2 linked regions of the Ovis aries genome follow. The protein of the gene in region 1 interacts with the protein of each later gene in a pairwise test. Links are inferred from orthologs where the notes say so. Each region holds a gene or a part of one and is shown on either strand. Other genes may lie near its edges.

What was found.
Region 2: the proteins of PRAM1 (region 1) and SKAP1 interact in binary tests that used the Homo sapiens proteins (3 or more experiments, as listed by UniProt). The two-hybrid records come from large-scale screens. The link is inferred for Ovis aries from reciprocal best matches to the Homo sapiens genes PRAM1 and SKAP1.

Annotation. Positions count from the first base shown.
Region 1 is NC_056058.1:14,847,993-14,852,464, forward strand, and holds the start of PRAM1 (PML-RARA-regulated adapter molecule 1), read right to left. Parts: upstream 2,929-4,472; 5' UTR 2,873-2,928; coding exon 2,870-2,872; intron 523-2,869; coding exon 1-522. UniProt on the Homo sapiens protein: May be involved in myeloid differentiation. May be involved in integrin signaling in neutrophils. Binds to PtdIns(4)P.
Region 2 is NC_056064.1:37,789,423-37,793,586, forward strand, and holds the start of SKAP1 (src kinase-associated phosphoprotein 1), read left to right. Parts: upstream 1-1,251; 5' UTR 1,252-1,346; coding exon 1,347-1,395; intron 1,396-4,164. UniProt on the Homo sapiens protein: Positively regulates T-cell receptor signaling by enhancing the MAP kinase pathway. Required for optimal conjugation between T-cells and antigen-presenting cells by promoting the clustering of integrin ITGAL on the surface of T-cells.

The sequences.
Region 1 (4,472 bases):
CTCTGAGGAGTGGGGGTGGGGCTCACCAAATTCGGGCTTTAAGAGGGGCACTGGAGGGACCTCACTGGACTCGGGCTGGGGCAGGGGCTTCTTAAGGAGGCCACCAGCCTGAGGCTGCGGGGGCTTTCTGGGGAGCCCACAGAACTCAGGCTGCGGGGGCTTCTTGGGAAGAGTACTGAACTTGGGCTCCACGGGGGACCTGGGGGTGTTGCTGAGCTCAGGCTGCTGTGGGGTCTTCTGAGAGGGGGCCTCAGGGACCTCAGGCTTCCTGGGAAGTGGCGTGGCCTCGGGCTGCAGGAACTTCTTGGAGAGTTCACTGAACTCAAGTTTGGGGGGCTTTTTGGGCAGGTCAGTGAACTCAGGCTGTGGGGGCTTCTTGGGGTGCTCGCCTAGCTCTGGCTGTGGGAACTTTTTGAGGAGTTTGTGGAACTCAGTCTTCGGGGGCTTTTTGGGGAGGTCGCCAGTCTCCGGCTGAGAGGCCTGGAACTTTGCTTGAAGGCTCCGGAAGTCCTGATGACTCCCCTAGGGGACACAGGCAGGCAAGGGACTCATACACATGGGGGCCATGGAGAGACGGATGTGGGGATAAGCGGACGAATCACAGACACACACCCTTGTCGTCCTCTTCCCGGCCTTCTGCCATTGACTCTCTTCTCTTGACCAGACTCCCATGTTTTTGTCTCCAGCCTCCCCGTGAGAGTGCCAGGCTCTCTTCCTGAACTACCACACACCGTCTGACCTCGTCACTTAAGCCCGGAATGTGCACCCAACCTCACCCCACTCCGGACCCGAGCTCCTGGGGTGCCATGTGGCCTTCTGCTCCCATTCCCGCCCCCAACCCAACTCCGTGGAGCATCCTCAAGCTCCTCCCCTCCTGCATGTCCCTAGGCCTCTCTTTTCTCATTTCAAAATGTATCTGGAGGGACTTCCTGGCAGTCAGGTGGCTAAGTCTCCTAGCTCCTGTTTGGGGAAGTAGATCCCACATGCCACAACAAAGAGTTGAACTGCCTCAACGGAAGACTCCGCGTGCCACCACTAAGACCCGGTGCAGCCAAAAGCAAGACATGTGTATTAGTATATCTGGAACTGAACAACTCTGGACCACCTGCACCCCTGTCCTGGAATCCACCCAGGGGAGGCGGCCTCCCCTGCAACAGGATTGCTGTAAGAGGCTCCTCCTCGTTCCTCCTGCCCACGATGCCCCACACCCCCTTTCCCGGTCAGCGTGCCCGCAGCAGCCAGAGGCGGCCTGAGTCTGTCTGTCCTCTGCTCCGAATCTGGGTGTGCTCTGTCGCTTGCCCACAGTAAGAGCTCTAGCGCTCACGAACCCCCCGGACGGCACGCCTGACCTCCCCTTGGTGCTGCCTCCCTGGCCTCCCTCTCCTGCTTGGCTCCTGCCACCTGGCCTGCCTGGGCCATACTTCCCATTGCATGGTCTCTCCTCTTCCGAGTTTCTACTCCTTTATTCCATATGATAGAGGCCTTTTTTCCCAGAACACCCTGATTTAAAAAAAAAGGATTCCCCTAGGACTCTCTGATCCCCCCAACCTGCCTAATTTTTCTCTTAGTGCCTAGCACTCTATATCATCCTATTTATTTTTACCTAATACTTATTATTTTTTTTTTACTATTTATTGGCATGCCACGTAGCACATGGTATGCTAGTTCCCCAACTAGGAATTGAACCAGTGCCCCTTGCATTGGAAGCAAGGAGTCGTAACTGCTACACTGCCCCCAATACTGTTTTTTAAATGTGCCTTGACTGTTTAGGGTTGTGTGTGTGTGTGTGTGTGTGTGTGTGTGTGTGTGTGTGTGTGTGTGTGAACTGCCTCCCCCCTGCCCCTGAACGTGACATGAGGGCAGTCTTCCCAATGCCTCACACTCAGTAAGATGCTCAGTAACTATTTGTTGAAATAAAGAATCTACTAGGGACTTCCCTGGTGCCTCAGTGGTTGAGACTTCATGCTTCCAACGCAGGAGGTGCGTCGATCCCTGGTTGGGGAACTAAGATCCCACATGATGCCGTGCGGCATGGCAAAATATGTATCTATCTATCTATATATATACACCGGACACCGAGATGAGCAGCATATACTCTGCCACATCCAGTCCAATGTGGCGCACCAGCCCTGGCGCATGAAGTCCATCTCGATCCTGTCTCAACAGGACCCACACCCTCAGTCACAGACACAGGAGACACACAAGTAGGCCAGGGCTGCTCTGACCGACAATTGACCCCAGAAGTGGCCCTGCCACTGGCCCCTGGGCCTGGCTTCACCTGGGGTCTAGGAGATTGGGGAGGGGAAGGGCAGGACCTCACTCATCTGCCCTGTCTGAGCTTCACTCTCCCCTGACCCAGAGAACAAGGAAGGGTGGCAGTTCCTGCCTGGGGCCTGAGAAACCTCTGTGAAAGCTGGGCTGGGATAGGCTCCTAGGTGACCCAGAGGGCTGGAGAAGGCAGATCAGCAGGTCAGGCCCTGGAGGACTGCTGGGGTGGGCGGGGTGGGCAGCAGCTACATGACCTACTTTGTCACCCACAGGAAGCCCCTGCCACTCACCCTGGCTGCCTGTTACCCGGTGGCTGTTCATGCTGACCTGGGGGGAGGGGAGTCACCCCAGCAGGCCCACCCGTTCCCCTTCTAGTCACAGCCTCAGCTCATCGCCGCCCCTCGGAGCTTGAGTTGTCCCAGAAGTGGATCCCGGCTGCTTCTTAACCCCTGGGCATTTGTGGCGGTCATTCTCATGTCCCCAACAGCTTTCCTGCCCCTCTGCCACCCTGCTTTTGGAATATGCCCCTCTGGTTTCCACCCGTGGCATCCCTCACCTCCAGCCAGTGTGGGGCTCTCCCAGGCCCTGGAGACTCACTCACCATGGCTGCAGGAGGGTGATGGACCACAAGGCGAGTGGGACCCAGGCCAGGACTGCTGCATTCAGGAAGTGACTGTGGCTTCTGCTCCACGGGGTGGGGTCTGCTGGCCAGGCGGGGAGGGGAGGGGAGGAAGGGGCAGAGGCGGGGACAGCCCCAGCCTGGTCTCAGATCCTGTCAGTGCTTCTTGAATTCCTGTCCTGCCCTGCAAGCTTTGGGCATCCTGTTAGCAGAATCCCTCCCAACAGTCACTCATTTCTAGATTCCGCTGCCATGTGCTGGCCTCCGAACCCCAGGGAGGACTTGTGCCAGGCCAGGAGGGCCTCCTGCCAACAGGGGCAGGCCAAGGACACCTCCAGCCAAGGCCTCCGTGGGAGGGGAGGGGTAGTTCTCAGGAGGGAAGGGGCATGGTAAGCTTCACGCTTACTCAGGAGTCGGAGTGAGCCGGGTTGGTGAGGCCCTCCTGCCGGCCCGTGTTGCCTCAACATGCCTTCCTCATTTCAACACTTCTCTGCAGTCCCGATTTCCAGCTCTGAGCAGGACTCAGGACTTCTTGTTGCGGGGACAGCTGTCACACAGGCCGATGGCCCAGGTGGGGTGGCAGATTTGCTGATGGGCGGGTGGGTGGGCAGTGTCCAGGTTCCCAGAGGACTAGGGAAGGAGGAAAATGGGGGTGGCTGGGAGGCTGGCAAAGAGGGGGTAAAGTGGGGCACAAGACCAGTGCTGTCCAGAGGGAAACCCTGATGGCTTGGCTTGGTCCCCAGGAGGTCAGTGACCTTGGGGCTCATAGAGAAAGGAAAAAACACCCAGTGGGAGAGAGCAGAGCCCTGATTCTCAGCTTGGCCACACCATCGGGGTCCCTTGAAAAGTTCACAGAGGAACAGAAGCTCCTGGAGATCTTTTTTGTTTTTAATTTAAAACTTCAGCTACACTGGGTCTTTGCTGCTTCGAGCAGGCTTTCTCAAGTTGCAGAGAGCAGGGATACTCTAGTTGCAGCGTGCAGGCCTCTCTCTTTGTGGTGACTTCTCTTGTTGCGGAGCACAGGCTCTAGGGAGCCGGGGCGGGGCTTCAGCAGTTGCAGGTCCCAGGCTCTAGGGCACAGGTGCAGGGGCTTAGCTGCTCCTCAACATGAGGGATCCTCCTGGACCAGGGATCAAACTCATGCCCCCTGCACTGGCAGGTAGGTTCTTTACCACTGAGCCATCAGGGAAGTCGGTTCCTGGCCTGGGGATTTCTTACATACCCTCAGAGTGATTCTAATGTGAAGCTGGGAAAGAACTGGTGTCCACTAGTTACCCTGGGACCCCGATAAAGTGTGGGCTGTGCCTCAGGTCTGTCAGAGTCTGAAGCATCCCAGGTGATGCCCTTACTGTGGTCCAAGGATCACACCTAGACTAGCAGGGATGTTTGAAGTTTCCAGAAGGCAACAGACAGTGGTTGGCAGTGACTCTGCCTGTGTGTCTGCTCTAAGAGCAGAGCTCGGGGATTCTGGGCCCTTGTGTGTCCCTGCACAGACCAACATGCACTCTGGGTCACATTCCCGGGTGTGGGTTCCCCTTTCGAGTAGGAAGCTGAGGATGAGGATGAAGAGGTCTGTGTCCCAGAG
Region 2 (4,164 bases), on another chromosome or scaffold:
CCCAATCCTTTCCACATATTCTAGTGTACATAGAATCTGATAATAGAAACTATTTTTTACAAAGAAGGAAACTGATAGAGGTGAAGTGAGATGTGCAGGGGCTCAGGTTAGCTCACTCCCCATCTCAAAATTTGTCTGTGGCTCCCAATGTCCACTCAAATGAGTTCAGAATCCTTACCCTTTCAAGTTCCCTCACAGTAGAACTTTACTTTTTCTTGACAACTATTTCCCTACACCAGCCAGAAACTGCCCTGAAGCAGGAGAAGTCTTTTCCATCTTTGTTTACTCTGGTCCTTCCACCTGCGCCCTTGCCCCTTCAAAGTGTGGTGTCTTCAGAGCCATCTCAAATGCCACATGCACCATTACACCGCACACACATTTTCCCTCCTTTTCTTATATTCATCTCCCTCCTTGTATCACCCCATGGCACTTTATACTTTTTTCATGACACTTGCCCTATACTTAAAACAACAACAACAACAACAACTTAAGATAACTGTGGATTCACAGAAGTTGTGATGAATAATCCAGAGTGGTCCTGTTTCCCCAGGTAAAATTGTGCAATATCACAGGATATCACAGCTAGGACACCTGACACCTACATACTCTGAATGAGAAGGAAGCCCACTTCTGTTATCTTGTCCTTCACTTTCCTCCCTTTTAAACTCTTACAGGGAAAGGGCTGGATGCTCCTCTCCTTTAGCTTTCTCTCTGGGTTACCGCTTCTTTTTCCTCTCATCCTTTTAGCCTTAGGGAAGGAAGGGATACTTTGCCTCCGTGTTTCCATTGCAGAGGGTCTGCTTTGAGTCTCCCTGAAGTTGGTGACTTGAGATTATTTATTGGGACTTATGATCATTCCCTCGAACAGTCCTGGTTTGCCTGACCCACGGTTCTGCCCTGGTTTTCCGGGCTTGGACTCGCGAACTGAGTCGGGAATGACTGCGGCCCGGCTTGGCGGGGACTGACCCTGTCCTCGGATTCCACCTCCTCGCGCCTCATCTCGGCCCCACGGTGGCTTCTCCACCTGCCGGCGAGGCCCGCGGTCCCGAGCTTAGAATGGGGAGCGCCCGGAGGCGAGGTGCCTGGAGTCGCGTCGCGTCTTTGTTCTGACAGGGAATGGGGGCCGCGGGGCGGGCACCTCCTCCCTGGGGCGCGGGCGTAGGGGCGCGGGCCCCGCGCACAGGTGTCGCCGCCGCCCAGGCGCCCCGCCCGCCGCGCGCCGCTTCCTGAGCGCGCCCCGCCCTGCGGCTCGGCCCCGCGGCGCCGGCGACTGAGGGCCAGGTGCCGCCGCAGCCGCCCGCCCGCCCGCCAGTCCGCCCGCCCGGCCCTCTCCCGCCGCCCGCCACATGCAGGCCGCCGCCGCCCTCCCCGAGGAGATCCGTTGGCTCCTGGAAGGTAACGCCCCGCTGGCCCGGGCGCCGCCGAGCCCGCCGGGAGTCGCACGTGCCGAGCCGGCAGCAGCCGAGACGCCAGCGGCTCCCAAGGCCGGCCTTCCCCGTCGGCTCCCTCCCGCCTTCTAGAACCTCGAGGCTGCTGCCGGAGTCCTGACTCTGCAGAGCCAGCTGTTCACCCCTCGCTCAGGGGTCCCGTTCACTCCTAGTAACACATTTTCTTTTCCCTCAAGGCGTCTCCACCTCCCACTTAGCCTCCCGGCTTCTCAGCAAGTTCTGGCCGGGTTCAAGGTCCCCGGGCCGCCGCGGCTGGCCTTCAGCCTGTCCCTTTCTCTTCAGGACGCCCTGCGTCTGTGGGTTACGCGCTGGCCCCTCTCCAGCCCTGACTGTGTCCCTTCACAGGGAACCCTGACCTTCGTGCTTAGAGCTCCCCACGGTCTCACGGGGCTGTTAGGGCTCAGGGGCTCCTGTCGGCCAAGGCCTGGACACCCAGACCTCAGGCCCCCTTCACCCGCCCACAGACTCCCTCTTGCCCCGGGTCGGATCCCAGTGTTACATCTCTTCCCTTTCTAGAAGTGCCCCATTGCGGTGTGTTCACCCTCAAACCGTAGAGCCCATCAGTCCTTGTAAGAGTTAAGGCCATACTCACTAACACTCAACACATCCCGCTGTAACACTCCAGAGACACTTTTTGCTAATGGGCAAGATCTGCTTGCCTCCCACTTTTCCTGGTGAAAAAGTATTAATAATTTGCTTTTCCTGTAACCGACCTTCCTGGAAGGATGGGGACCTGGAATCTGTGTTTGCATAAGGGTCCCAGGAGGAAACCGCTCAGAATTAAGCCTTTTGGTATAGAGGTGACATTTTTGACACATACTTAACAGATGGCCTGTTTTCGGCAGGTCATAGTTTTGGCAAGCAGTATGTTTTTTTCTCTTCAGTTTCTCTCAATTTAATTGGTTTTATATCTCCATTACCATGTTATCTTGGTATAAATGCCTCCTAATCAAATATTTGGCAAGTCTTTTCAGTCTGTTTGTAGCGCTGTTTCCATTCTGGGTTGCTTCCATAAAAGCTGTCAACTACGTGTTTCTTATGAAATGAAGTTTCCAAAATTTATTTTGCTTGCAACCTGAGTGAATCTAAATTTTCAGAATAGAGAAGTATTTGTGGGGTAAAAGAGCATCATCTGGATGTCTAGAAGGAACCCAGCCTTTCCGTCTGCTGTTGGCTCAGTAATTCCAAATATAAAGAGAGTCTGTACTGTGTCTGGTTTCCAGGAGAGAAGGAACCGTGGCAAAAAGTTTCATTCTGCTTGCAGTTAAAGATATAAACAGATTCTTTTTATTGATATCTGTCATTTGTTGAGAGGAAACCTGTTTTACAAACTAGTTAAACTATACTTAGATTTTGTTTACAGCCTTGATAGAAAATTCCTTTTTATTTTCAGAGGCTTACAATGACATCCACTCCTTCAGCATTTTTGATGTGCAGTTCTTTATTGTTCAAAACTGACACTTTGGTAAACAACTCATTTCTGCACCTGCCACCTTCCTTTAGTTTAGATTATTTTCTTGTTAGCTGACTGTTTTTAATTGAAGTCTTCAGATCTCCTCCTAAAGCAGAACCTTTGTTTGCTGACAAGTAGAGCAGAGTATGAATGGAGATTAATTGCATGTCACATACTTCTGTATCAAACTTGCTGTGTCTTAACAATCTGTGTTGGTGCTCGGGTCTTTGGAATATATAGAACAATCCAAGATTAAATTCTAAGAAGCTATGTTGGTTAATGTATTACTTTAAGGCTCCCCCTTTTTTTTTTAAAGTATGTAATTAGAGTCTGAATCTGAAGTAGAGAAAAAAAATGTGAAAGTGGAATTCAACCAATAATTCTATTGAAAAATGTTTGAAGAATATACTTTTGAAAGGTTTGTGTAATCATAGCAACATATTGGTTGTAGGTTTTGTTTTTTATGGAACACATTCTCTGTTGTAGACCAACAGAATTATTCACTGGACTACAAATAGTTTGTAAATATTAGAAGCCCATAATGGCTATCAATTTTTCATCTGTTGCTGTTTGTCTTCCCCCACCCACCCCCACACACACTTTTTAAGGTTAACTGCTGACAATTAGAAAATATGTAGGTCCTGATCTCTATATTGTCACTCAGTGGAGGGAGTCATAGGGTGAGAGTGCTGCTACTTCAATGCTGCCACAGGCTGTGGGGGTGGAGTTTCCACAATGAATTACTACTTTCATAAACCAAGCCATAAGCATTTGCACCGTGATTTAATGCTGGCCATCACAGCCATAACTTTAGCATTTATTTATTTATAACTACAAGAGCATAAATGACAGGGGCGTTTTTTGACATAATGTGTGTGCTTTGAAAAATAAGATATGCAAAGCATTATGAAAGGTTTATGCCAGATTTTGCATATTGAAGAAGGGAACAGAAACGCTGAAGGTCTAAAATTAATTTTAAGGATAAAATTTTAAACATTTGACCAAGAAACTCCACTCCTAGGAATCTATGTTAATGAAAGTAAAGAACATGAAGTATATATTTTTGTTTGTTTGTTTTAGTCGCTAAGTTGTGTTCAACTCTATGGACTGTATAGCTCATCAGACTCCAGAATACTGGAGTGGGTTGCCATTTCCTTCTCCCGGGGATCTTCCTGACTCAGGGATCAAACCTGCTTCTCCTGCATTGGCAGGTGGATTCTGAGTCACCTGGGAAGCCTGAAGTATATATATCAGGATGCATAG